Linked DNA regions of Rhinolophus ferrumequinum. The protein of the gene in region 1 binds, or shares a complex with, the protein of each later gene. Links are inferred from orthologs where the notes say so. Each region holds a gene or a part of one and is shown on either strand. Other genes may lie near its edges.

The links.
Region 2: the proteins of RAD1 (region 1) and HUS1 are in contact, whole or in part, in a crystal structure (PDB 8GNN), measured with the Homo sapiens proteins. The link is inferred for Rhinolophus ferrumequinum from reciprocal best matches to the Homo sapiens genes RAD1 and HUS1. Residues at the interface, in NP_002844.1 of Homo sapiens: Asn85, Val88, Asp91, Cys92, Ser94, Ile95, Phe96, Gly97, Ser98, Gly127, Val128, Val129, Thr130, Val131, Cys132, Lys133, Ile134, Asn135, Gln137; in NP_004498.1 of Homo sapiens: Thr165, Ser168, Val169, Lys172, Met173, Asn175, Ile176, Glu197, Leu198, Val199, Cys200, Val201, Thr202, Thr203, His204, Phe205, Lys206.
Region 3: the proteins of RAD1 (region 1) and RHNO1 are in contact, whole or in part, in a crystal structure (PDB 6J8Y), measured with the Homo sapiens proteins. The link is inferred for Rhinolophus ferrumequinum from reciprocal best matches to the Homo sapiens genes RAD1 and RHNO1. Residues at the interface, in NP_002844.1 of Homo sapiens: Asn47, Gly48, Ile49, Lys50, Phe64, Ile65, Gln66, Ser149, Lys155, Ile157, Glu211, Ala212, Lys240, Val241, Ser242, Arg244, Gln254, Tyr255, Met256, Phe266, Glu268; in NP_001239428.1 of Homo sapiens: Ser55, Trp56, Val57, Ser58, Pro59, Asp60, Phe61, Asp62, Thr63.

What each region holds. Positions count from the first base shown.
Region 1 is NC_046290.1:22,851,514-22,860,861, reverse strand, and holds the start of RAD1 (cell cycle checkpoint protein RAD1), read left to right. Parts: upstream 1-4,837; 5' UTR 4,838-5,088; coding exon 5,089-5,382; intron 5,383-6,282; coding exon 6,283-6,391; intron 6,392-7,759; coding exon 7,760-8,018; intron 8,019-9,348. Other genes in the region: BRIX1 (ribosome biogenesis protein BRX1 homolog), read right to left, coding at 842-885, 2,008-2,119, 4,212-4,370. UniProt on the Homo sapiens protein: Component of the 9-1-1 cell-cycle checkpoint response complex that plays a major role in DNA repair. The 9-1-1 complex is recruited to DNA lesion upon damage by the RAD17-replication factor C (RFC) clamp loader complex.
Region 2 is NC_046303.1:1,214,852-1,224,854, reverse strand, and holds the start of HUS1 (checkpoint protein HUS1), read left to right. Parts: upstream 1-6,024; 5' UTR 6,025-6,270; coding exon 6,271-6,322; intron 6,323-6,800; coding exon 6,801-6,928; intron 6,929-7,011; coding exon 7,012-7,188; intron 7,189-7,522; coding exon 7,523-7,630; intron 7,631-8,471; coding exon 8,472-8,546; intron 8,547-10,003. Other genes in the region: SUN3 (SUN domain-containing protein 3), read left to right, coding at 704-796, 1,765-1,884. UniProt on the Homo sapiens protein: Component of the 9-1-1 cell-cycle checkpoint response complex that plays a major role in DNA repair. The 9-1-1 complex is recruited to DNA lesion upon damage by the RAD17-replication factor C (RFC) clamp loader complex.
Region 3 is NC_046293.1:87,884,838-87,894,331, reverse strand, and holds the start of RHNO1 (RAD9, HUS1, RAD1-interacting nuclear orphan protein 1), read left to right. Parts: upstream 1-5,624; 5' UTR 5,625-5,701; intron 5,702-8,275; coding exon of another isoform or gene 8,276-8,451; intron 8,452-8,617; coding exon of another isoform or gene 8,618-8,687; intron 8,688-9,321; coding exon of another isoform or gene 9,322-9,366; intron 9,367-9,494. Other genes in the region: TEX52 (testis-expressed protein 52), read right to left, coding at 1,364-1,917, 2,937-3,005; FOXM1 (forkhead box protein M1), read right to left, coding at 4,585-5,610, 8,276-8,451, 8,618-8,687, 9,322-9,366. UniProt on the Homo sapiens protein: Involved in microhomology-mediated end-joining (MMEJ) DNA repair by promoting recruitment of polymerase theta (POLQ) to DNA damage sites during mitosis.

The DNA.
Region 1 (9,348 bases):
CTGGTCTTGGAATAAACACAGCAACATTCCATCGGCAGTTTTCTAGTCCAGCCTCAGTTGCTGGAAACCCATACCGTTTTACTTCTCCTGTCTTCACTTGACTTGTTTAGGGCCTCTCTCTGCCATTAGAATGTAAGCTCCACAATGACGGGGTGTTGTTTTGTAAAACACATTTCCATGGCACGCAGAGAGCAATACCACGATATAGCAGAGGTTCAAATATTATGCTAAATGAATAAAAGTCTTTCTAATAGCCAAAGAAAATCCTGTTTAAAAAATTCTAAGTCTTTAAACATCTGCTGTAAAATGTAAGGTTAGTATCTTCAACAACACTTTGAAAATTTAACCTATTACTTGTTGGTAATACCGTAAGAGCAAATACCACATGCATCACTTTTAATACTGACAAAATGCTTTTTACAATGTGGGGTTTTAAAAATATTTAATGAGTTTTTAATTATATTTCATACATGCTGATTGGTAGTTTTTGTATGAATACCTACTAAGCAATTTGCACTATCTTAGACATAATGAGAGGAAAAAAATGAGAGAATCCTTGTTCCCAGAAAATGTTCATGTGCTTGTTTGGACAAAATAAATGTAAGAATCATCAAGAAACAATATATACTGAATATAAGATAAAACATAAGATACAGACAATGAGTACTACAAAAATTTAGAAGATAGATTATTAAAGATTCAATAAAATCTAAGTATATTTTACAAAACAATATAAGTCACTGAATAACTGACTTTTTAAAATGAGTATTAGTGTTCCAAAATATTTTTTTCCTAAATAGTGTTCCTAGAACATTTTACTTTAGTTAGTTTCTAAAATTACCTCGTTAATCACAAATAACTTATCTTTACGATCCATTTTAGTGTCTATAAAAAGAAAAAAAGAAAAAGCAAGTAAACAAAAGATTTCAAACCTTCTTTAATCAAATCACATTCTTTCTAGAAAATACTTTTAAAAGTTTTTATAATCTTCAATTTAAATGAAATTTTATTAATATTCAAAACAATCAGATCTGAAAACACATGACCTCTTTAAAATTTTTAAATGTAAAAATGAGATTAAAAATACTCCTCAAGAATTATAAAAGATGTAAGCAGTGGTTCTCAGACTTTCTGTATTCTATGAATCTCTTTCAAAAATGAAAAATTCTCACAACTGAAAACTATGTTCTAGGACTCCCATTTAAGGAACACTCACTTTAAGAAACTAAAATGTGAAGTGATGAAAATTTCTTTCCATTTGAATCACAGTTGCCAAAGAAAACTAATAAAAAAAAATGGTTTGGGATTACCATAGGAAAAAGGAAACCAATACAAATTAAAATTTCTTAGTAGTTTCAAAGATCTGAAAATATAACAGCACATCCCAGTTTGAGAAACATTGATCTAACCAACTAAGTTATTACCCAGAATTAAAACCAAAGGCATCTCCCAACACAGGCACAAAGACAGCTGCATGATGACACTGCCACAGTTCTAAACTTAAAACTAGACGTTCTTCATTTGCTTGTAAGATACCCCGTTGCTAAAAAGATCAGCTCGGCATTTAGAAGCACACTGAGCTCCAACTTAAAGGTGCCTGAAATCCTACTCTAGGTCCATTATTTTTTATATAAGAAGTCTTTTTTTGTTTTCTTTTTTTGTTTTTTAATGCAGAAAGCAATACATGGCAGTCCTGAATCATTTCAAAGGACAAACCATGACCTCTGAGAGAGAGCATTACAGTGAAGGCATTTCTGGACCTGCAAGAAATGTTTCAATAATTAGGACGTATCTGTTTAAGAAAGTGAAGAGAATGTTTAATAAATTCTGCAAAAACTTTCTGACAAAATGTGAACTTGAAACATCTTGGCACTGAAAATATATACTTCTGAGGAGTAGTGGTTCTTTATCTCACAAGATTGAAAAACTGAAGTGTGACGTGAAATGTGAATACATAAATAGGCAAGTTTATAAACATAAATTTTAAAGTATATGACATAAAGGCACCTGCTTTAGAATGAGGCATCAACATTCTTAAGTCTTGCATTAAATGTCTTGTTCTGAAATTTATTCCTCTGGAAGAAAAGATGAGAATCCGTTCCTTATTTTTCCACTTGCCCTAAAGAAAAAGAAATTGTTAAGATTTTGAGTTTCATACTGAACCTACCTTGACTGGTTGTTTGTTTAAAGATAAAGCTTCCAAGTAGCAAGTCAAACAATCCTGACCTAACCCTTTAAATTCAGTCACTCAGCAGCATTCACTAATCTCAGTTGCCGTCCAGAAATGCTCTCCTTTGCTCCCTTACCTTTTTTGTTTCTTTTTTCTTCAATCTTTCCACTCCTCATCCTAACTCTAAAGATTCTTAGCCTCTTTTATTTCTGTTCTCTCCAGGACACAGTTCTCATAATCACTCTCATAGCTTCAATTGCCAACTCTACAAAAAGGTAAAGAACTGTCTCCCAACCCTACTAATCTCAAATTCAATCCTAGAATACTTAAACCTTAAATCTGGTATATTTCCTTATTATTTAGTTTTCTGATGATATCACCACCATTTCAGTCCCCCAGGCTTTGAATCTTCCACCTGCCCATATTCTCTCATACCATAAGCACTACTAAATGCTGTCAATTTCTCTTTGCAACAATTTTTAATCCTTTCCTATTCCCTCTGCCCTCCTTCAGATCGTTAGGATCTTATATCAACTACAAATCTTTTAAATGGCTAGCTAGCCTTCCAGGGAGGAGTTCCTGCAATAGATATGGCAGACTAGCACCAGCTTAATCTTAAAGCATTGCTCCAATCACATTCTTAGCTCCCAGCATTTTCTAAACACAATCCAAAATGACATAGTTTTTAACATTCGATTCTAAAATACATTTATATTTTCACCTCAGATTGTCCCAAATCAACCCTACACTTTAGCCAATCAGGCTTTACTTCTTTAAGTTTTCAGCATTTCCCACAGTTCAACACCTTTGATTGGTTTTTTTCTCTCCTTGTATTGTTCCTTCTCGTTTCTGAATATCAAAATTCTGTCCTTTGCGATCCAGCTCAAAGGCTAACTCCTTCATGATCCCTTACCAGATTATCCTAGGGTAAAAGTTATTACATTCTGCACATCACTAGGATTTTTCTTATTATGACTCAAATCAATGATGCCTAAGGGATGAGAGCACTAATTTATTGAAAATCTACTGGAAGTCCCGATTATTCTTCACCAAAAGTAAATCACATTTCCTTCCTCCTAATAATATACAGATGAGCAAAGAGCTCTTAATAGCAAGGCTAGAATTTAAACTCATCTTTCATTCCTCAGTTAACTCCTTTCCTAGTGCTTGCCACCACACCACAATCATTTATTCATCATTTACTATGTGCTAGAGTACTATGCCAAGCTGGTGGGGGTTGGGGGCGCACAGAAATTAACAAATCAAAGGCAATCCCTGACTCCACAGTACTCAATCTAGTTCAGGGAGCTCTCAGTTGAATGAAAGTGAGTCCAACATCTTGTGTTCACCTTCTTTTGAATAAAAACCATCGACTTATGTGAATTCTTAGTTTCCTTCTAAACTCCAACATTTCAGGAAGAGATCACGTTCCAGTTTTGCAATCCCAAAGCAGGGGAAACCTAATTTCGTACAGTGCCTATCACGTTAAAAGTTTGTTGAATACAAGTAGAACTTGTACTATCCACTCTAGCTTTCGTTATCCCTCGAGAGCTAAAGATCTAGTAAGTCAAAGTCATAGTCCCAAGAACAGCAACTTTTAAAGGACCACATTACAAGCTTCAGGATCCCTGACTGACAGTAATTGACTATGGCAGAATATGAGAATACGAATCACTGTAAGGATACACTAAACATCTAGAAATTACTTTAAGGGAAAGTTCTACCCTCCAAACGACATAAAGTGGAATAACTAGAAGACAGAACATTGGAACTGAGTACTCCGTTAGTCGATTCCCAGTGAGCCAGCTAAAAGCTCTGAAGCCCGCCCCGTTGCTTAGTCGGACGCACCCAAGAGGGCGACCACGTGCACGAGAATTAGATGTAAACGCGGTGGCTAGTCGCGCCCGGACAGCTGAGACCCAACTCCCGTAACACCTCGGCAACTCCAAAATCCTCAGACTTGTATTTAGGTAGGTAAACCCAGGGCAAGTGCGTGGAGCAGCGGCCGCAGGTGTAACTCGGGGGTAGTAGCTCCCCTTACCTGGCAAACGGGGCCTGGGATACGGTTTCTCTCTTCATTCTCCGCCTCCTCTGCCATATCACGCTGCTTAGGCGGCGGCCTGGCATCTTTTTCGCTTCTTTTTGGTCTCTTCGCTTGAACTGCCAAGCCTCCACGCCGCTTCCTCTTGGTCGCCGCCATCTTGCCTCGCCGCCTTCGCTCTTGGGCTTCCTTCCGGCTCGGCCGCTCGCTCCCCTTTCCGATCTCTATGGTACTGCGCGCTCGGCTCTGTGGTCCTCCAGCTCCATGGTGCCTCCTTCCGGCCTCTGTGGTACTGCACGCTCGGCTCTCTAGGCCTCGTGTAGCTCTATGGTGACGGTGGCCGAAGTGGCCGGCCGATCTGAAAAAAGTGGCGGGACTTGCTCCCCTTCCTCTACAATTCTTCCCGAGCTGCACTTAGCTTCCTCGGTGACTTGGCTGGGAAGGGTTCACAGGAGTCCAGACCTCACCGCAAAGGTAGGGTTTCTGCGCCTTGCAATCCTGGACCAGTAAACAGATGCTGCCCCTGCGACGGGCTGGTAAACCCGGTTGTCTGAGACTCAAGGTGGCTCTTTTGAGAATCGGGGCCCGCCTCCCCATTGCGTGTTCTGTTAAAGAAAGATTGGGGGCGCCAGAACCGACACTGGGGAAACTGGCCACAAGCAGAACTACAGTGTTTGTCTGTTTTCATTATTCGCAACTTTTCCTGTGTTATTGCCCCCTTAAAAAACAGGAAACCATAGCTTAGAGAGAGAAATAATTTCCCCCAAAAGGACAGAGACAGTTAAGTAGCAGTCCCCTGTCGGCCAAGTTCAACGCCCAGACCTCTTCCACTTCGCCTCAGCGCAGGCTGAGATCGCGGGCTTCTTCGCCAGCATTGATGGGGAGTTTTATTGTCGAATCTCCCAGGTGTGTCGTGATCCGCGGGAGCAGGTGTTGGCAGCAGGAGCATTCCTCCGGGCCAAATGTGCAGGAGACGATGCCCCTCCTCAACCAGCAGATCGAAGAGGAGAATGATTACAGCTTGACGGCCAGCCTTGACAACGTTAGGAATCTCTCCACTATCTTAAAGGCTATTCATTTCCGAGAACATGCCACGTGTTTTGCTACTAAAAATGGAATCAAGGTTACAGTGGAAAATGCAAAGTGTGTGCAAGCAAATGCTTTTATTCAGGTATGGAAGAAGGTATCTTTAAGTCTGTGACATGCTATTCCTTACTCAGTTTAATGAATTCCCAAGGTCTTAATAGACATTTAAGTTAAAAAACAATATCATTATTTGAATTTTTTTTCATTGCTGGTAGGTAACAAATTCTTTCCCTGTCTTGTTTTACAGAGATAATGGTTAAAAATAATGTCTAAAATTTAAACTATAGGCCAGGCACTCTTCTGTTTTCTACATGTTTAACTCATTTAACCCTCACAATATGAGGTAGGCTCTATTATTCCCATTTTACATATGTGGAAACTGAAGCACAATTTAAGGGATTTGCCGAAAGTCCAACAGCTTGCAAGTGGCTGAGATGGGATGAGAACCCAAAACATGTTTCTAGAGTATATACTCCTTACCACTACCTCCCTCTTATTAATTTTTTTCCTTTTATCGGTTATAATATAATATGTTTATTCTTACAAAGTAGTATTTGTATGATTCAGATTTCACATTTGATTCAACGTTTTTTTCTGAACACCTAAGAGCACAGTATGACCTTGAATAAATAAGACGTTCCTGTCCTTAAAAGAAATTGAAAACTAGTATCACTCATGCATTATTCAATTGTTTGACTATTTTCCAAAGACAGGGGAGAGTCACATGGGGGATAGTTTAGATCCAATAAGTTATATGAAGGACCCTTCATAAAGTTTTGCATGGGACCTAAATCACTGTTACAGCTTTAATTATTGAATAGAGTTGATAGCTGAAAAAGCTTAAGATGTTTTTATTGGTAATCAGAAATGATTTTAATAAGATTAACACAATATTATTTTTTAAAAACATGTAAAGTGAAATCTAGAACCTTATGTGTGAGTTTTCATTCTTTAATATATTTTTTTTCGTTCACTTTTTTTATAGGCTGGAATATTTCAAGAGTTTAAAGTTCAGGAAGAGCCTGTTACTTTTCGAATTAATTTAACTGTCCTTTTAGACTGCTTATCTATTTTTGGATCAAGTCCTATGCCAGGTGAACCATTTTATTAACATTATAACAACATAAAAGCAGAGAGAATGGTCAAAAATACAGGAAAAGTTATTAGAATGTAATATAAACATTTCTTTAGAAAATGAACTGCCAATTCACTTTTCATTGGTCACAATCATGGATTGTGACTTTCATAGAAAATATTAATAGAAAGTGTGCTTATGGGTCTTTTCATATTTGCAAAAGTACTTACATTCATCTTTTTAAATTTACAAAGCTTTTAGGTTTTAAATTTCAACTGACCCAAAGAAGACTTCGTTTTAAATATCTTTAACAAGTGAAATATGTAGTAATTGCTGCTTTTCTCTAACTTGTCCAGAATTACAGTTTAGTGGTAGAGAAAAATAGAAACCAATTCTCCTGATTTCCAGTTTACCGCATTCAGAATTTGGTTACTGTTTTTTCCCGTTAAGCCCTGTTTATAAATTATGTCTATTTTCCTAGATGCTTTCCTTTACAATATTTATATATTTTATTTGTTTAGGGAGTTTTTAGGAATAGTGAATTCAGTTGCTATGGATGTACAACTACAAGAAATTCCCAGAAGAATGATTTTATTTCATAGCAGTGGACTCTGAGATTGGCTAGGGAAAATTCAGTTATTGTTCCCTAGAAAATATATTTTAATTTTGTACTGACAATTCCATTATTAATTATACATCCTCTAACGTACCTGGTTTTTCATAAAAGCATCTGCCTTCCCCCATCCCTCACTCAGGCTTCCATCCTACAATAAGGGAAAAGAGCCAGAATGTCCTGTCATACGTATTCTTCTCCCTCTCAAATGGGTTGCAGTATTAAAACCCTAACCACCATTAACCACCCTCTCTTTTGCTCCCAATTTGATCTTAAAACTTGGGGCAATGTAAAGGATGTCTCCCAATAGGAAAGGCAGGAAGGATCCTTACAGTGAATACACTGGCCTTATAGTACAGACAATATCAAAGCAATCCACTGTTGCACAAATTGAACCTTCAAGAAACAGCATAGCCTATTCTGCAACAACTCTTAATTACAGTATTGGACCAAGTAGATGCTCCAACCTGAAATGTGTGTGTGCGCATGCACACACACACACCATCAGTAAGGTATTTCTGAGGTGTTCTGGCAAGCTGGGAAATTTCAGAGCATTACATTACATTTTGTTCTGCTTCCCAATTTTCTTGCAGTTATTTTTGGAATTGTCTACACACAGCTGTCATCAGGGAAGATGTGATCCTTTCTTAGAGAGACATATGCTAGAAATTGGGCAGAATAAAGTACCCTTGAGGAGTTTTATGTATCATTTGAGGAAAAGCTGAACCCAGAGCTATAAAGCTAAGCCCAAAGTGTGATTTATTTCCATTGCAGGGATTTTAACTGCACTTCGAATGTGTTATCAAGGTTATGGTTACCCTCTGATGCTGTTTCTTGAAGAAGGAGGAGTGGTGACAGTCTGTAAAATCAATACGCAGGAGCCTGAGGAAACTCTGGATTTTGATTTCTGCAGCACCAATGTTATTAATAAAATCATTCTGCAGTCCGAGGGGCTCCGTGAAGCATTTTCTGAATTGGATATGACAAGTGAGGTCCTACAGATCACCATGTCTCCTGACAAGCCTTACTTCAGGTACTTGAAAGCAGTATAATGAAGCTAATGTGGTTGATACTATCTGCCTACTTACGCATTTGCTTAGGATGCAGAACTTTTATTATCCAGGTTCCTAGAATTTTCAGAACTTTGGAGAGCGTTTACTCTTACCTCCCCCTTTTATTGATCAGGACACCCAGGACCCAGGAAGATTAACTCACTATTTAAAGCTTCCTAGTTAGGTAGTGTTGGTTTTTCTTTCCTTTCAAAAGGAAGTAGATAGATGTTTTCTATACGTGGTTTATTCACTGAGTATCTATTGATCACCTACTGTTGCATATTTACCTTGGTAAGCATTACAGGAAGGAACAGCTTAAAATCAAGGTAAAGTGGAAATATGTGAAACAGCAGAGAAGGAACGAAACTGCATGACATTAAGTACCAAGATAATACCCAGAGATACTTAGGGAACCAACACATGAATACTTAGGGAGGACTGGTCAAGGTAAGCTTCCTAATGGAGGGTAATTTTCAGCAGGAATACAATGTCAGAAACTATCAAGCTGCTCCTGAAATTTTGACCCCAAAAATTATGAAATGGCAAGTCTCTTTTTGGGATTAGAATCAATTTAGGGAGAGAATTTAAATATTCTCTTCTGAAATATTTCAGAATATTAATGAGTAAAGGATTTTTTAATATCTACTTTAGAAGAACTGACGGCTCTTTTCATGGCAGTAGGCAGATAAAAATTGGACTCAAGTTCTGTTAAAATGTTAACCAAAATGGAAATCAGCGGAACCCTATTTAAGCAGTGATCGGAATTAAAATTCCAGGCACTTCAACAGTATTTCAGAAGACCCCCACCTAATGATCTCTCTCAGCATGGGTAACTAGATGGTTCGTGGTTATCGTTCATCTCCTGTGTGGGAAATGATCTGGTGGTGGGAACTGGGAGTTGAAATTTTTTTATGTTAAATTGGACGTGCCTATGACACCAGAAAGTAGTTCGATATGTAGATCTAGAGCTCAGGAGATCACTCTAGAATGGACTAGTCTCATCCATGGCTGGGCACGGACAAGATGGCTCAGAGAAAGAGGCTGTGTTACAAGAGAGGAAAAAGATAGGTCCTAGGGAAAAACAGCACGGAGGTGTCCTATCACTGCTCATATTGTACTTACCAGTGTGCTAATCCCATAGCAAATGGTGTGTTCTTGCAGATTATAAACTCTCCGCACAAACTGCTGATGTTACCAAGCAAGGAAAGCTTCATAGAACAGCCTGAAGAGCTCCCTAAGATACAGGAAAGCCATAATTGCTTGGTATGGCAGTAAAGGTAGGGAGCAGGACCCCAGCCTTGCAGCTGATGT
Region 2 (10,003 bases), on another chromosome or scaffold:
ACAATTTAATTAATGAACTCTTTATTTTGTTGTGCTACTATGATTTAAGGAACCTAAAGATAAACTTTAGATAGTCACAAATAAGTTAATTCCCACCAGTGTATTTTCCTCTCAAAAACCTTGGTTTTGAAAGGTAGAGAAGGAAGGTAAAATAAATAAATAAATAAATGAAACTACATACAAATATCAATATTTTCTTTCAGTCAGCAAATACTTTTTGGATAGAGCTATTTGTATGATCAGTCTGGAAATTGGATTAAGTTTATCTTATTTTGGAAAACACTGGGTCAACATAGGGACTTTTGTTTTAGTTTATTCAAAGTCTTCTGACTGCAGATACAGTTAGTAGGCCTGAGGTTTGTTCTATCTATCTATCTATCTCCATCCACCCACCCACCCCGCCACCCTCCGAGCACCCTTCATCTACATTTCAGGTATTTATCTGTCTATGTATCTATCTAACTACCTTCTTCCTACCTGTCTAGTGAGCCCTGTGATCAGCCTGCCTCTTGCCTTGCAAACTGCAAAGTTCAACACCTTTGGGGTATATAGGGCAGCACTGGCACCTGGGCCAGCACTGCGCCCGTGGCGGACCCCAAAGACGTCTGGAGAACTGTTGCTCCTTGCATACACATCTGCCTCCATTTATGTTAACCGAGCATCCGTTCCTGATGATCTACATGTCTGTTACTTTTTTTTATAGGGCAGCTTGAAACAATGTGGAGGAGAAGAGGTTTTCCTAGGTCAGTTTTTATATAACAAAACAGGAACCACGGTTCAAACCTTTGAGCTCCAGGTAATGAGCCCTGGCTAGGGGATGCGGGCTCCGCTCCTGGGAGGGGTGTGTTGGGGTTGCGTGCCGGAAGTGGTGTGTGAGAATAACCGTGACAGGAGCATAAGCTAAACGAGGCTTTTCTGAGCTTCAGTTCTGAGCTCCCAGTGCTTATGTGCATTTTAATGCAAAAGACAGGCAAATACCGAAGTGGCTTCTAAGCCTAATTCTTCCTCGTTTGCTATCACTTTTTAAAAACTGTATTCACCTTCTCAGTCCTTCTCTTACCAGTCTGGTTCCCTTGCACTGTTAGGTTAGACAGTCACTGTCTCAACTTTCTTATGAGGGCGGTGGTGCAGTATGAGATGGTTAGAGGCAGAGAGGAAGTCAGGGGAAGAGAAAACAAATACTTAACACCAGACGATACAGGCAAAACTTCTCTCCTTAACTCAAAGGGGAAAAAGCACCAACTGTTAGCATACAAGGCCCCCGAAAGTCATTAAGGTGCATGAAATATATCTTCACTGTCTCTCATTAGCCACAGGAAGTAATGAAGAAATACAGAAGGCGTCTCATATCATGTAAAAGCAAGTGTTTGATGACACTACTTGGCCCATGGTGAGAAAATCTAGGCTGAAAACAATGTGTTAGAACTGAATGTGCCTGAGGAGTTTCCTATGTGACTGTACGGCCGTGTCACTCACTCCCTCATGGGACGGCCATGTAGGAGCACTGTGGGGGCATCTGAGAGGAAGTGAGAGCACCTGGTGTCCAGGCTGCCATACGCTCTTCCTTCCCCGGAACTTGTCTTCTTAGGAGCTCTTTACTTACGGTGGCTCATTTTCTCGTCCACTAGAGTGATGTTTGGATACCCTTGTGTTAGGAAGGGAGGAAGGAAAGAGTTTGAATTTCCCATTACGTCAGCCTTCCTCGGGATTCTTTGAGATGGATTTCTTGATAAGGCATTAATTTTATTTTTTCTTTATTTTCAGCATGAAGTTTCTGAATCCTTATTATGTGTGAAACTTAAAATCCTCAGCAACTGGGGACACACGAAGTACACTTGTTTATATAGATTCAGGGTGCACGGCACCCCGGGAGACCACACCTAGAAGAGCTGGTGCAGAAGGTGACGGCCAGGGGGTTAGGACAGCCAAGTGTCCCTGCCCCTTCGCTTCACTACACTCAGAGGGGTGGAAATCGGCAGTGGGAGGGAAACCTCAAAGTGGATGAATTTTACTAGTAAAAGTGTAAAAGTGATTCAGTCTCCTTCTGGTAGCTTTGCTTTGGGGATGAATGTCGCTGGAGCCCTGACAAGTAAATCTGTCTCGAAGGTGGTATTACTCAACAGTCTTTCTCATAGGAACACCTCTGCCTTCCTTAATTTGTTCATCCACACCAGGCGTGGATGGCCTGTTACCACTGTTACTTAACACATATCTGGACACACTGGTCAATTTGGTTAGATAAGTGAAAGAAATCAGAGTTTAAAAGGAGTGAGGATGTCTGACCATGACTATTTGCAGATGATCTGATGAATTCCTTCAAATGCAATAAAGTCAATCAAAAAATACACCACACACAGGAAAAACTGCAGTAAGTTAGTGGAAAGAAAATTACCACATATAAATCAACATTATGTATAAATACAAACAACCAGTTGGAGGATATAATTTACAAAAGCCACAACAAAGATGAAAACGAATCAGATAAACGAAACAATTAAACTACCTGTTTGAAAACACTCCAAACAGCAGTGGATGATAAGAAGACTTCAATGATGGAAAGACACACCTTTCCTGTGGATACGAAAACTCAGCTATCAAGATGTCAGTGTTCACTAAATTAATCTATAAATTCACTTTAATCTCAATTAACACCCAGAAAAAAGGTATTTCTGAGACAATTATGGGAAATTAAGGATATTTCAGTGCCTGTGTGATAATAGTATTTCGATGTTGTTACTAAAAAAGAATTATTCTTGTTTAGATTTATATATTTAAATATTTACAGATGAAATGATATATCTGAGATATGTTTCAAAATAATAAGAGGAGGAAATGTATGGGAGGATCCATAGAGAAGACTGGCCATGCAATGATCATCGAAGTTGTGTGCTGGTCCACGGGGCTTCATGTCTACTATTCTGCATTCATTTACATATGTTTGATATTTTCAATTTTAGAAAGTTTTAAAAAGATTAAAACATATATAAGTAACTAGAAGTGTTGTGTTTTAAGCCAAATTGATTCTAAAGTTCATTTGGAAATATAAACTTAGTAGGAAGCCAGGAAACCTCTGGATGAAAAAAAAAAGACAAAGAACTGTATGATGTTGATTAAAACAATAATTAAAATTGTGTGGTGCTAGAACATTGATAAACCAATGGAACAGACAAAACAAGTCTGTTTCTGATATATCAGAAATAGATTTATATCTATGTAGGAATTTAGAATACGATAACGGTGGCATCTTAAAAGCAGACAGGAAAAAGGAATGGTTTGGGACAATTACTCTGTCATTAAGAAAAGAAAATTGCACCTATTATTTCTCACTTTGCAACATGACGAATTTCCAATATGGTGATTATTTATAGGTAGGTAATGAAACCATAAAAATAAACCAAGAAAACTTGGGCTAAGTCTTGTATGGCATTGGATAGAGGAAGACCTTTTCTAAACAAGACTCACACTTACATAAAATTGAAAAAACCTCTACATGGCCAACAAAACCTTAAACAAAACAGAAAAATATATTTGTCATTGATATCATGAGGACCAATCTTTTCCATATGTAAAGAGTCTCGAGAAAGCAATACTATCAATAGCTGCATAGAAAAACGGCTGGACAGCACAAAGAGATTTTTCTTAGGAACATATGAAAAGGTATTCGAGCTTATTTATTTTAAGAAAAATGTCAAAAGTTACACGGTAGGTACCATGTTTCACCAATGAAATTAAGAAAAGTTTGATAACATTTCATTGGTAAGGCTTTGAGGAAATAGACTCTCTCACACATTGATGGTGAAAATGCAAACAGAGAAAACCATTGTGGAGGGAACCTGGCAATGTCTCTCAGAATTAGGAAGGCACATACCTTTTGACTCAAGGAGTCACGTGCAACATACATATATAACACGTTAATCAGCAATGTTCACCAGGAGGAGAGAGTAAATAAAATGGGAATGGGGCAGAAGAGACACCCACATAGGTGGAAGCAAAATGGTCTACTGTATAATGTTTTGTTTTCAAATCACGTGAAAATATTACCTATTCCTTACCTATACCATTTTTTAATTAAAAAATGTTTAGCATAAAACATGGTCTCTCGTTTTCTTACGTAATGGTTGTAGAGGAAAAACTCACTTGTGTTTCTCCTTTACTCTCACACAACAAACACACTCACAACAATTCTGACACCAGATTGTGTGGGGTTTTTGTGTTTGTTTTTTCTTTCTCACACCAGGCAATTCAGTGGTACCAGCCGGGCATCCTACAATTCTGACACAACCGGAGTGAGCTCAAGAGCGTCGGGCTCAGTCCCACGAGACCGCTCTCTATTTCAGATGCCAAATAGTAGATCCCCAGGTTACCCACAACTTCTGTCCAACTTGGCTTTCCATGATTACCCTGCCATAGATTCAATTATTTGCTAGAACAGCTCACAGAATTCAGGAAAACATTTAAATTTACCATTTTGCTATGTAACAAAGGGTATGACAAAGGATAGAGATGAGCAGCCAGGTGAAGAGATACATACGGCCAGGTCCAGGCAGGCCAATGCAGAGGCTCTTCCTTCCCCGTGAAGAGGGGGCCCCCTACCCTCCTGGCACACAAACGTGTTCACCAACCCAGAAGCTTCTGAACCCCCTACTTTTGGGATCTTTATGGAGGCTTCATCACGGTCGGTTCTTAACCCCACTTCCAGGCCCTCTCCCCTCACTGTGCACTCACAAGGCCGAGAGGCAGATTCTCACCCGGGGCGTGTGGGGCGCGCGCGCAGCAAGGCCAACATTTCAGTTCTATCCGCCATCTTTAAAATGGCGAATAGCACTCACCTATGGGTGCTTGTTACCAAGGTGACACCAATCAGTGTCAAGTGCTATAAAAAGGGTAGTGATTGACCCCACCCTATGGATGGGTACCATTCAACAGTGCCTTGGAAGTGAAACACGGTGGGCGGCCAAAAACGTGGGTTTCCCTCCCAGGTGGTGGGTACGTCCTTTCTCAGAGCCCCAGGGCCCAGCATCCAGTGCCCAGTGCCTGACACTTCTCATGGGCGCCACAAATGTTAATTTAAAGGATATTTATGACATTTATTGAAGTAGTTTTCCTTTAACGTCTAAAACACGAGAAGAGTCTTTGAAGAGCCGCTTAAGCAAAACCCATCCCTTCATGGAGCGCATTTCTCAAAAGACATTCATTCACTCGTGCCGCACAGTGTGCTGTCCGTCATTTCACAGTTTTCTCACGTAAAAGAAAAAGAAGACAAATCCAACCTGAACCTCTGAGCTATGCCAGTGTCTTCCCAGTGAGCAACTTTTTCAACATTAAGTGCTCACAACAGGACTGCAAATGGGCCCCCGAGGGATGGGGAGGACGAACAAGCACGGGGCACACGCTGGGCAGACGCTTCGGGCCGCCCGGGAAGGCGCACAGTCCTTACCTGGGTGGAGCGCGCAGCGCCTGCGGCGGTGAGGACGGGCTCCCCGGCTTCCCACTGCACACCCCGCCTGCCGTCGGCTGTGCTTCACTGCCACCGTGCTGCCACCTGGGGGACGGGATGAGGGCACTTCCTTGCACAATAAGCAAACATAATGAACTCCGAAACACCAAGCTGGATACAGTTTTTGTTCCTTTTTTTTTTTTAATCGTGTAACATCATTACATCATTTATGCTTTAAGGACTTTCACAGGATCTGGTGAAGTTCATCAGGAGACAAAGTTGCAGTTACCACTTAACGTCAATGTTCTCTAAACATGATCCCGCTTTTACCACAATTTTAAAACCGTGATCCAACGTGGTGCTACGGGCCCCGGCGAGCGGGAGCCAGCACTAGCGTCTGGGCCTGGAAGGGGTTCGAAAGTGACCTACATCCGAGCGGCAGATATCTAAGCGATCATTTTAATTGCCTTTGATAAATAAGCGATTGGTTTTAGTTCTGACGTTTTAACAGAATTGGCAACAGGTGTCACAACGTTCTTCCAAAACGTGAGTCCCCGGAACCACTCCTCCTACCTGGGGGCGGGGAGGACTGGCGCGTCGCCGAAAGCAGCCGCCTGCTCGGCCGGGGGCGTTACCGAACCCCGCCTCCCCGCGTACGTGACCCACAGCGTCACACGGGGCCCGCCTCCCCGCCGGGGGGCGTGACGCGGCTCACGGAGGCCGGGCCGAGCCGGGCGGAACCTCTGGGCGCGCGGCGGCGTTTCCGGAGGGACGCCGAGGGCGACACCGGGGTCCGCGGGTGACGGGTCCCCCGCGCGGGCCCGCGTTCCGGCATGAAGTTTCGGGCCAAAATCGTGGACGCGGCCTGTCTGAACCACTTCACGCGTGAGCGGGGCCGCGCCCGCCCGGGCGGTGTGGGGAGGAGCCCAGAGGGGAGGGCGCGCCGGAAGGAGGCTGCGCGCGGCGGGCCTCGGGCGAGGAGGGCGCGGGCAGCGCGCGGGACGCGCGTCTGTGGGCGGGGCAGCGGGTGCCCGGGTTGTTTCTAAAACCCGCGTGCCGGCGCCTGGCGTTCCCTCGTGGGCCGGCGGCGGGCCGCGGGAGGCAGCCTTACGTGGCGCAGACCCCGTGGCCCAGTGTGCTGCCGGCGTGGATGCGCCCTGCGAGCGCCGGCGCCTCGTTGCAGCCTGACGTGCGCCGCGCGAGTGGCGGGGTGTGGGGAGGCTGCCGGACTTCTCGGTGCTAAGCTGCTTTCCGGTGGGGTCCCACGACGAACGGCCGTGTGTCCGCCTGGAGGTGGCGCCGTGTTGAGCTCGGGTTCGTGGTGTGCTTGCCAGGAATTCCTTCCCTTCACCCCCTGCTACAGGAGTCAGCAACATGATAGCCAAGCTGGCCAAAACCTGCACTCTGCGCATCAGCCCGCGTCACCTGAACTTCATCCTCTCCGACAAGGTGGCCAGTGGAGGGGTGAGCATGTGGTGTGAGCTGGAACAGGTGAGCAGAGGCTCCTGCGAGGCGTCACACGCTGCCCGGTGCCGTCGGAGAGGGCACAGGTGTCCCTCCTTGTCTTCCCTTAGGAGAACTTCTTCAACGAATTTCAAATGGAAGGTGTGTCAGCAGAAAACAATGCGATTTATTTAGAGCTGACATCAGAGAATCTGTCTCGAGCCTTGAAAACTGCCCAGAATGCCAGAGCCTTGAAAATCAAGCTGACTAATAAACACTTTCCCTGCCTCACCGTCTCCATAGAGCTGGTGAGTAGGAGGGGAGCGATTCTGAAACTTCCCAGAAGGAGCTGCACTGGCTGGCGGTTGAACGTTAACTGGTTTTCTGGCACCTGAGTGTTTTCCCCTGGACTCAGTTTCTCCTCCTACTTAATGACATTGCTTGTTCAGCACACGTCCCAGCTCCTAACCCAGAGCAGACCACGCACACCCTGAGTATCTGTTGAACAGGTTTTGATGAATGGAACATTCCACTTAGATGTGGTATGTTAGCTTTTTTATTTTTGTCCCTTAGTTCTTTTTTTGTTTTGGTTTTTTTTAATATTGACGTTATAAAAATACTGTGTGATTCTTCTCTTGGCAGTTATCTGTGTCGAGCAGTAGTCGCATTGTAACCCACGATATCCCCATAAAGGTCATTCCTAGGAAACTGTGGAAGGATTTACAGGAACCGACAGTCCCAGACTGTGATGTGAGTGACGCTCATTTTTAAAGGATACTCCACGAAAAAAAATGGAGTATTTGCCTTTTGCTGTTTACATAAAGATCTTAAAACAGGGCAGCGTGTAGCAGTAAAGCCACACGCCACAGGTGGGAGACAATGTCTTGCTCAGCAGTGGCGCTTAAATAAAACTAGACTACACGGAGGGAGCACTGTGGGGGACTGGTTTCTGTCGGGAGTGATGGCTTAGGCGCCTGTTTGGGTCTCAGAACGTGATTTTACCTCATCCTGTAAGGAGTGATGCCTGGGTGTGCGTAAGAGCCAAGGGCAGAGGCTACCCCAGTCCTGGCAGGAATCCCTGGGCAGCGGGAAATAAAGATGAGGCCCACAAGTCTGTTGCTTCTTGCATACGATTTATTGGAGAAGAGACCGTGGAAAAGGAATTTTACTGGAGGATATCCGCACCACCTGGGAAAAGCCAGCATTGTATCAAGCACTGTTGGTGACCTGGTCTGAGCGCTGGTGCAGGGACTTCCTCATGGTCCTTTTCCGGGGTAAGAAGGCCTGTCTGAGGGTGTGTCCCTCAGAGTCTTATTCCCCTTGGGTAACATAAGGCCTCTGGCCGAAGGGCTGCAGTCTGTGGAGCCAGAGTGCCCACAGGTGTGTGGTCGCCAAGGTAACCACAGAGGCAGGCGTGAGTTAGGGAAATAAAATTGTTTTTGTTTCATATTTTAAAAGGACAGTGTAAAACTCCAGATTCCAGAGCTGCTAAGCATGCATGCGTGGCAAACGTAGGCAGTAGGTTGCACCTGTCAGCACTTGACTGTACTCACATCTTTAATTCTCCTGAGTTTTCTCATTGCTTTCGTAGGTTAGTATTTATTTGCCAGTCCTGAAGACTATGAAGAGCGTGGTGGAAAGAATGAAAAACATCAGCAACCACCTTGTAAGTTACAACTTCCTCGGAAAGGAGCCCGGAGTATTGGGTTCAGGCGGCATGCCTGCCACAGGTGTGGGGGCCCTGTGGGTACCCTGAGGCCCGGTGCGGCGGGCGCCCTCACCGGCCTGTTCTTGAGAGCTGCGGTTTCACGGAGTCCAGGAAACCTGTGCTGGTGCTTTCCTCTCTCTCACGGGGGAGGCTTTTATATTTGCCCTGGTCCATCACACTTGTATTTATAGCCTATTAACAACATAGCCAACAGTTCTGGCTTCCTTCACTTGTGTTTTGGACAAAACCTCCCAGCTTGTCTGTTGTGTGTATGTGTTTTATGAATCACCGACACTGGCAGTGATGGAAGTGTCCTGTCTACTTAGTGGCGGTCTCAGCTCGGAGCCCCCCAGCACACGCTGTCGCCCCCTCATCAGCTGTTTGCCAAGTACATGGATGTATTTCCTTTGCTGTTTGCTTATGTGGCGGTTGGTCCACTACAGTGTCACAAAATGCTACAGCATGTGACAGTGATGGGGAAGGGTGTGGATGGTCCCCAGTCACCCCTGGGATTCTCTGAATTCTTCCTTTGCTTGACCCCAAACATTTGATTATGTCCCGAATCTTCTAAAAACCTCCATCAGCCTGACGAAGTGTCCACTTTTGATCTTCATCTGCCCGGCCTCGTCCCCTGTCATGTGGCCACACCATCCCTGCAAAACCTCCCTCGACTCTTGTCCTTCCCCACACTGCCGGCTCTTTCCAGGCTCTGTCTCGGCCATTTCACACTCGCTGTGTTTTCTCCCACGTCCCCCCACGTTAGCCTCTCGCCATTCGCTGTAACTCTGTGCTCAGTGCTCTATGCTAAGTGACCTGCCAGCATCGGAAAGGGAAACGCTATCTCAACCATCTTTGTGTCCCGGCCACCACTGTGGGACTGTCACCCAGCGGGCGGTTAATAAGTGTTGTCGCATGGACCTGGAATGAAATGTACCTTCAAGCGATCTTTGGAATTGCAAAGGTTTTCTGAAGCCTAGGAAATGTTTGTGGGCCGTTCATACCTGTGATGGTGGTCACATAAGAGTGATTGTGTTTCTTGGCTTAATCTCCTAGATGTCATTTGAACTTGCAGTCAGCTTCCGCTGCTGCAGTGTGAGCTGTGCTGCGCTTGGGGTGCTCCCGTCAGTGCACCATTGTTGACCCAGATGTCAGGTGGGAAGCTTCCACTGCCAGGGCGGGATGCCCTGGGGACCTCAGAGAGCTTCGAAGAGGCCCAGGAGAGAAAAGGCCAGGCCGGTCAATTCATCTGCGGACCCCATTGTTTTGTTCTTTCTGTCCAAGGGCAATGAGTTGGCCCAGTAGCCTGGGTAGAGAAAATCATCAGAAGAAGTGTTTTTCTCCGGAGTATTTAAAAACAAACAAAAGTGTTGTGGCGTGCCTGCTGCCATCTGCCCTCCTACATGGAAAGTTGTCAC
Region 3 (9,494 bases), on another chromosome or scaffold:
AGTCGAGCTCTCTGTGCTTCAGATGCCCCATCTGCAACATGGGGTTGATCATAATAGTTTCTATTCCGAGGGAATGGGAGGATTAAATAATATAGTTAAAGTGATTAGAACAACATCTGGCACTCTCATTTCACTAAGTTTTTTTGAGGAGTGTTCTAAGTCTTCACCTTTGTGTGCCTAGTGTTGGCCCATATTAGCCATCAATAATCTTCATGCAAAAATAAATAAATATAAATAAATAAATAAATAAATATACAAAAATAAAAAATAAAAAAATAGTCTTCATTGTAGGGACAGTAGAGGGAAGTGAAGGGCCTGAAAAATCTTCTCTCAAAATTACCAAGTATTGGCATTGCTTTTTTAAGATTACAGATCTCCACGCCTCCCCCTCCAACCTCTCACTGCTTCTGTTAATGCCCTTGGGATTGGAATTTGAGACATTCCATTCCTTATTCCTCTCTTCCTTTCCGGCCACTCGTACTGGACAGGACCCAGTATGGCAATATCTGTGAGTTCCCACGATGGGCAAGGTGGGGAGAGCTGTGGGGTTCTCAAATAGCAACTTTCACATTCCTCTCTGCTCACACCAGGCAGCCCCTCCTTTCTGCCTTTCCGAAGGCTTCCTACCCTTCCAGCCTTCATCCAATTCCTCATGAAGCCTTCCTGGGAGGATGTGCCAGCCCACAGCAACCCCTTCTTCCCTCCCTCATCTGAATTTCTGTAATAATGTCTATTTTTTGTTTAGAGCTTTCGTATATTCATTAACCAACTTTATCTTCACCACTGAGGTAGGCATAGTATTTACCATGCCTATTTTGTTGATAATGGAATTATTAACAATCAACGATGGAACTGAGTCTGGAAAAGCTAAGCAATTTGCCAAAGGAACACAGTCTAGACTTTAATTCTAGCCTCCAACTCCAGCTTTCAGGTTTTTCCATTAATAATGGACATCATTACAAGACCCATCCTCTGTCTCACACTTTGGGCACTTAGCACGTGTGCGCTTGTATTGATAGATTTCTTTCCTCGCATGTATATAAGTAGGTTCCTGCCTTTCGTAAGCTCCTTGAGGGCGGGGACTGCATGGCATTTCTCGGTCTCCCCAGAGCCTAGCAGGTGTTAAGTACATGGTCGCATCCCCATAATTTTAGTTAAAAAATTGAACCCCTCTCCTGGCTGTCCTTCCCTTGCCTCCATCCCTTCCCTCCAGCTACATTCAGAACAGAGTTTAGTTTTTGATGACCAGAGGTGGGAAAGTTAGAGTACCAAGTGAGATATCAGCAACAGGAAGCAGAGAGAGGGAGGGGTCACCTGAATGTGGGTTGGCGGGTGAGCTCCCTGAGGAAGGAGTGCCTCTTACTTCTTGAAGTTCTTTGGGGGCAGGATGTTGCCATTGGCATCAAGTGGAGGTGCCCTTGCTTCACTCCTCAGTTTGAGTTTCTCCATCTCTCTTAGTTCCTTCGCTGTCCTGAACATCACCTGGCTCTTCCTATTCGCATCCAAGAAGATAGGAGGATTACTGCAGATGAAGGTCAGAAAGCTGTTTTGACCCATCCAGGAGGGAGGGGGAATGGGGGGCTCCGTTGGGGGGCGGCAGTGAGCCCTGGAGTTGGTCAGCCTGCGCCAGACATTACTGTCATAGGGCCTGTCGGGCCTGGCGGGGAAGGTAGCCGGCAAGCGCCCCACGTCGAGCCACGTGTGGAAGCCCCACGTGTGCTCCGTTGTATCCTTCCACGGGTGGATTAGTCGGTGGTGTACCTTGGACTTCATGTCTGTGCAGGGTGGCAGCTTCAGGGCCAGCTGGTGGTAGGCTTGCCGGGTGAAGCCAGGCCATTCCCAGGGCTCATCCGGGAGGAAGAACTCACGCTGAGGCCACGTGTGGGAGGCCAGTAGGGCCTCACCGGCCTCGACCATCTAGGGAGAGACAAAGGGAGCTTGCCGGCACTCTGCCTCTTCTTCCAGGAGCAGCCGCAGAGGAAAGAAGCTGCCAGTCTCCTCCAGACACAGGGTTCCCATCAGGACACTGGCATGGAACCATGTCTGCTCTGTATTATTCTCCCCCTACCTGCAGGAACTTCATGGACTTCTCACCTGTTCTCTTTCCATCTCTCCGGTTTGGGCTTTGATTTCCTACCCTCTTTCCTCAACTTGAATTTCCCCTCTTCGCTCCTTCCTTTCACCCATCCTCTCCATTGTGCTGCCCAGGAAGTGCCCACACTCCCGCCCAGGAATGGGTGCTCCTAACAGGACACATCAGGCCTGAGGAAATCCTGAGGAAAAACATGCCTTACCAAGCCAAGTGTAGAAGGGAAGTCTTTCTACAGAGCTTGGGGGCTGGGTGCTTTTCTATCCTAGACTCCTCCTGTGACTCATTTCTCTGTCATTGCTGTGTTGCCCTCACTTCTCATTAAAATACCAGCAAGTATAGAAAGCATTTAAAATGTTGGTCCCTCCCCTTTCTGGGCCCCACCCCTATGAAATAAACGGTAGCAAATATGCCAAATACTCATCCACACCTTGTTTAACCCTCACAGCCCTATGAGCAGGTGCTGTCATGGTCCCCTTCTCAAAGATGCAAAGAGCAAGATACAATGAGGGTAAATAACTCATCCAAAGTGCCAGGGGAGTGAGTGGCAGAGCTGGGACCTAGGCCGTCTGTCTGTCTGCACTACCCATCTTCTTCAAAGATGCCTCTTCCTCCAGTACACTCCTAGGACTTTTCTAATTCCACAAGTCCCCTGTTTCGTGGGCCAGGTCCCTGTCACTTCTGTGACCACCCCAGATGTAATAACCAGGCATCTCCTCTCCTCTGTTCTGAGCTCCATGTTCACAGTATTATGGGACTAAGAGAAGACAGCAGAGGTCATGGGCCTAGAGATCTGCTGCCCTGGAGAAAGCCTGGCCCACCCCAGGGATGGGGCCTGGGCCCCTACCTGCCGGAAAGGTTCTCTGACATGGGATGTATTCCGCCCTCTGGGTGATCTTCGTGGGTGACAGGCCATTTTCTTCTGAGCCTGATTGCTGGGAGGGGCAGCTCTGTAGGGAAGATCTTACAGGCAGCATTGTTTGCTGCTGGGGTTGCTATGGTGATGCTTCCTGAGTGGTGACACAGGGAGGAGGGCTCATTACTCCCTGGGGACCTGGCTGCTTCAGGTGACACGGGCAAGAGATGGGACTCTGAAGTTCTGACTGCAAAAGATGGTAACGGGAGCTGCTTCTGGAGACTGGCCTGGGAAGGAAAGCAGGGCAGGCTGGCTTCCAGGCCTTGGGTAGGGGGTGGAGGTGGTCATGAGGCACCTGAAGGGGGCCCTTCCTTCCTTCCCTAACGGTCCGAGGTCTGCCCCTGTGTAGGCCTTTCCCTTCCTGGGGACTGGCTGAGCAGGACCAGCACTGGGAAAGCTGCCAGCTCCCGTTCGAAAGGCTGTGTGTGCCTGCGCAGGGTGTGACACAGGTGATCCACGCTCAGGTCCTTTGCACTCTCCTTCAGGTGCTTCTCCACGTTGGCTTCAGGCCTTGCCTCCTCCATTCCCACCGTCTTTATCACCACCCACTTTCTTTTCCAACCCCTCCTTATGCCGTGGGGGCCAGACAGACACACCACAGAGAGCAGCATTTGCAGCCTGGGTTTTATTGAGTAGTGGTTACAGTAGTGTTCTCGAGCTGGCTCCCAGGCACGTGGTCAGCTGGGGCCGAGGGTAGCTCTTTGCAAAGCTGCAGTGCAAGCTAAGGAAGCCAGGCAGGTCAGGGCCCTTTCCGCCTTCTCACACCTTGGGCCACGTTCTCATCAATGCTAGTCTCCCTGGCATGATTAGGGACATTATCAGAGAAACATCTCATGGGTGCACATCTGGGCACCCACTCTTTGCTTTAGATGCATCCACCCCCTACCCCCAATTCAACTTGACCTATTACAAGAGACCTCATAACAAGGACTTCTTGTGGGAAAGCTGACTTGGAAACATGAGGTGGTGGGAGGGGCAATAAGAGGGACCCTGGCAAGCAGATCCACCTGTCTGGGGGCCTACAGTAAAGAACCCTTGAGGCAGGTACCTCGGGCCTGGAAGAAACCGTGCACCGCAGGTCCCCCCCTTCTCTAGGAACTAAAAGCAAGGAACAGAAGCCAACTGACACCGCTGTCATCCTACCCACCTGGCAGTCTCTAGATAATGATCTAAGGAAATAAGCTTACATTTATAATTAGAGGATAATTTTGGAGAATATACACTATTTACAAGGGCCCCCCTGCAAGGAACAGGGAAGGTAAGGGACTGCTGGGCACAGAACACACAGTTTGAGGAATTCCTAATCTTGTTTCCCCTTTGTCTTTGCTACGCCCACCGTCCAGCTGTAGCAGGGATAGGGAGGAATCAGGTCCTCGCGGGAAGCACAGGGCAGCAGAAACCAGGCACCAGGGCCTTGCTGCTTGCAGAGGGCCCTGTGGCAGCTATGGCGTGACGTCTGCCTTGGCATAACCGGGCAAGGTGGGGCTCGAGGAGCGGACAGGCCCTGCCTGCTGTCCTTACACAGAGGCCTTGCACGGCCCAGGCCCAGCCCCACAAGTGCCCGGGAGTGGACAGATCTCTACCGCAGCTCAGGGATGAGCTGAGCCCAGCTGGCGCTGTCAGGGCCCAACAGGTCCTCCTCTAGGCCAGGGAAGCTGATGTCCAGCAGGATCTTGCTGAGGCTGTCATTCATTGTGTCCAGAACCAGACCTTCTGTGAGGGAACGGTTGGCTGAAAGGCTGGCAACCTGTGGCTCAGGGGAGCCTGGCTTGGGGACCTCCATATCTGAGGGGGAACAGCTCCTAAAGGGGTCAGAGGGGAGGTCAAAAGGCTCGGAATTGAGGAGCTCTTGAGGTGAATCAAAAAGGGGGATATTTTTCAGTGGGGTGGTACTGAGATCTGTCAGCCCCAGGGAGTCATGCAAGGGACCAAAGGGACCCTGGGGGGTTCGTACTGGGCTGAAATCTAGCCCCCCGATTTTGGCTGGGGGTGTGAGCCTCCAGGATTCAGGGGTCAAGGGGAGGACAGATTTGCTTGGGGTGGAGGAGATGGGCAACGTCTCCTTAATGGGTGTCTTAAAAGGTCCTTCCTCCCCCTGGGAGTAGCCAAGCTGGGAGACAGGCGCAGAGGACTCTGAGGGGAGAGCGAGCTCTGGGGCTCGGCGCGAAGTCCCGGGGCCCTCTGAGAAGACCAGCTCGGGCTCATCCACACAGGGAGGCTGGAGGTGCTGTTTCCTTCGAGACCGGCTCCTTTCCCTCCGCTCCCTTCGTTTAATCACGAGCATTTCCGAGACACACCGGGCTGGGGACTTGAGCCCACTGTAGGACTTCTTGGGCCTTGGAGTGGGAGAGTGGGACGAGTCCTCCCAGGACTGAGACAGCTCCTCTTTGACAGACGGGCATGGCGAGGGCCACTCTTCCAGGGGTGGGCTCTCGACCTTGATGGGCCGCCCTAAGTGTGGCATTTCCTCCCCAGGCTGGATGTCTTCCTCCTTGATGGACTGAACTGGAAGCAGAGGGCACAGCCCTTCTCCAAGCAGGAGTTTCTCCTCTTTCACTGGTCCTGCAGTGGGCAGAGGGGCTACCCCCTCATCAGCCAGCAGCACCTGAAAGGCAAGCAGGGATAAGGTGGAAAGGGGCTGTCGAAACCTCGAGACTCAACCCAGTCACCAGGCGGGACACAAGATCATGACTAAAGTAAGTGACATGCTGCTACTGATCCTCTTTTTGTCTTTTTAAAATCTTAAAAAGTATAAAATACAAGAATATATGATGGGCCGGCCTGGTGGCTCAGGTGGTTAGAGCTCCGTGCTCCTAACTCCGAAGGCTGCCGGTTCGATTCCCACATGGGCCAGTGGGCTCTCAGCCACAAGGTTGCCGGTTCAACTCCTCGAGTCCAGCAAGGGATGGTGGGCAGCGCCCCCTGCAACTAAGATTGAACACGGCACCTTGAGCTGGGCTGCCACTGAGCTCAGTTGGTTAGAGCGCGGGCTCTCAACCACAAGGGTGCTGACATAATCATTATCTATCTGAGATAAAATAAAATTAGATATCTATTTTATACCATCTACAAAGACAACAGAAAAATTAAAACCATACAAATCCTGAAAGAGAACCTAGGAGACTACATGTACAATCTGAGGGTAGGGGTGACCCTTCTTAACCAAGACTGGAAACCCAGAAGCTGTAAACGAGAGGAAATACATAGTTGACCATATAAAAATTTAATATCTTATTGTGGCAAGAGATACCATAAACAAAGTTCAGAAACAAACAGTAGAAGTAAAAAAAATCTTCAACATAAAAGACAAGGTTAATATTTTAACAACAAAGAACTCCCACAATTAACGAAACCCTGTAGAAAAATGGGCAAAGTCCATAAATAAACAATTCACAGTGAACACTCCCAAGTGACGAAATATAATGAGGAGGGGCTCCCATTTCCTGCTAAGCAAATAGTTCATGGAGACATCATTTATGCACATTAGACAGGCAAATATTAAAAAGATTAATAACACCAATTGCTGGCAAAGAAAGACACCGGTCTTGTCATATCCTGCTGGTGGAAATGTGAATTATCACAGATTTTTTTGGAAAAGCAATCTAGCAATATTAGGTAAAATTTAGAATACCTCTTCACTGAGCAATCTCATATCTGCGACTCTATCCCAGAGACATGAAAGCATTAGTAAGAAAGATACTTGCAAAGATATTTATTGCAATGTTGTTCATAAGGCAAAAGAACTAGAAACAAAATGTGCCCATAAAAGTGGAATGGCTGGAAAAATTATGGCATAGCCACACCATGGAATATTATGTGGCCATTAAAAGACAATGAATTAGGGCGGCCGGATGGCTCAGTTGGTTAGAGCACGAGCTCTCAGCAGCAGGGTTGCCGGTTCGATTCCTGCATGGGATGGTGGGCTGCGCCCCCTGCAACGAGGATTGAAGACAGCGACTGGGCTTGGGGCTCGGCTGCGCCCTCCACAACTAGATGGAAAGAACGGCGACTTGGCTTGGGGCTGAAGAGCCCTGGAGAGGCACACAGTTCCCCGATATTCCCCAATAAAAGAAGAAAAGGGGGAAAAAATTGAAAAAAAAAATGAATTAGAGCTATGCCAAGTGGTTTGGAAGAATTTCCATGAAGCAGAGTGTGTAATATGATCCCATTTTCAATGTTCTGTGTTGTGTGTGTATATATAGAATGACTATGGCTATATATGTCTGTTATACTAAGAGCATGGATAAAGTATGGAAGAAAGCATTCTAAATTGTCAACACGGGTTAGCTTGGAGAGCGAGGGTGGTGCGGGTGAAGGGGAAATGGCGGGGAGACAAAAAGGAGGAGGAAAAAGACTGCATTAAAACAAAAACCATACACATGCTACCATCACATTAACACACATATGTAAAATTACATATAGTGATATGTATAATTTTATATATATTTTAAAAGTATCTTTTAAATAAAACAAAAGCAAACCCAAGTCTCTCTAAACTCCAGAGCCCATGCTATGTCCATCTCATGAGGGGGCAGGAGCCCTTTTCCCTACTTTGCTCCAGGTCAGCTCCCGCTCTCAAAACCTTCTCGAGAGGGTGAAGTTCAGACTTGGTAGTCCATCGCAGTATGGCTTAATCTCCTCACTTTCCCTCAAACTAGACCAGGGATGCTCCATTGAGGAGTGATTCCGCCCCCAGGAGACCTGTGGCCACGTCTGGGGCATTCTGATTGTCACACAGGTCGGGGTGGGAGTGCTCCTGGTCTCTCGTGGGAGGAGACAAGGGATGTCATTAAACATCCTCCCGTGCACAGGGCAGCCGCCCTTCACCCCCAGCAAACATTTATCCAGCTCTAAATGTCAACAGTGCCGAGGCTGAGAAACGCGGAGCCAGACTGACCCAGGCCCTCCACCGTCACTGGGCACAAGCCGGCATCTCCTGCCTCCATGCTCTCTCCACACCTGGGTGCTTACCTAAATCTACTCCTTTCTGAGACCTACTTCCCTTGCAAACTCTTCCTTAACCCTCCCAGCCCGTCTGTCATCATCACCTTGTCTGAATTCTTATAAACTCATCAGGTATTTATGGGCCTTCTGGTACCATTACATTGTAATCCAAATTCCTTTTTAGCCTTTATAATTAAGTTTTCCTTTGTATGTGTGCCTTGTCTGCCCAACTAGACGTATAAGCTTCTCAAGGAACATTCAGCAGAGTACGTTGCAGGTGTAGGTCCAACACTTTTACTCCTCCGAGGAAATCAGAAGCCACTCACCTTAGGGGCAATGCGGACTCGCTTGCTATGGCGGGCAAGCTCTGAGCTCATGAGGGAAGCTGCCAGGGGCAGTGGCACCTTCACCGAGGGCTGTAGCACCAGCGGCTGGTTCACCGGGAACTGGATGGGCACCAGGTACGAACTGACGCGGGGCAGCAGCGGCTTCATCTTCCGCCCTGGGAGGAAATAGGGGCAGTGAGGGGCAGAGGTCCAGGGCACACCCCTTCTCATCCCCTCTGGGATCAGATCCCTCTGAGCTGGGCACAGCATCCGGAGTCCGATCCCTTCCGGCCGTGCTCCCAGAGCAAGGCTCAGGCCGGAAGTCCACTCTCCCATACTAACGTGCGCCCAGGGGGAGGTCGGCTCGGATGGTCACGTTCCGGCGGAGCTCAGGATTGGGCCGCTTCTGCTGCTGCGTGTGGCAGACAGGGAGAGAAAGAAACCTGAGTTAATCAGGCGGGGAGACGGTGGGGGCACCCACTGGCTGCTCTGGCACCGTGCACTGAGCTAACCGGCAGCCCAGAAATGGAAGCTGCTCTGGGAGGTTGCAGGCGAGCACTGCCACCAAAGCCTAGATAGTGGCAAAGGTGGACAGCACACAGACGCACGGTGGCAGATGGTCCCAGCACCTCATCCATGTGTCCTCACCACCCCAGGGGATGCTAAAGCATGGAGCTTTCCTTTCCTGTGGCAAAGGAAAGCCAGAGGAAACACTGCCACCTGCCAGGCCCACCATGCATTGTGGTTGCTGTGCCACACGCACCACGCCCGTGCCATGTCCTCCTGCCACGCACGCTCTGCTCAGTGTGCCTTCGTGATGTGAGGGGCAGGAGCAGTGGGCACAAGCCCTCCTTCTGGGGAGACGAGGTGGTAGTCACACAGTGCCTCACTCCCAGAAGCTCGGGGTGCCCTGAGTGCAGGGCTGGCAGTCACCCAGCCACAGGCTCCCTTCCCCTGCTTAGTGTCTTGTCCCTGTCCACTAAAGCCATGCTGAGCAGTGAAAGGAAAACAAGGCCAAGCCCCGAGCCAGAGGGAAAGAATCTTACTGATTCCAAGTGCTCGGGCGATTGTGGAGACCCTGGGTCCAGTGGCTGGTGGCGGTCAGGCATTGTGGGAGAGAAATGAGATGAAGTTACCACCAGCACGGTCAACCAGGCCGACCACATTGGGAAAAACACCTATTTCTGACTGGCGCCGAGGGCCACCCTGGACAACTGTC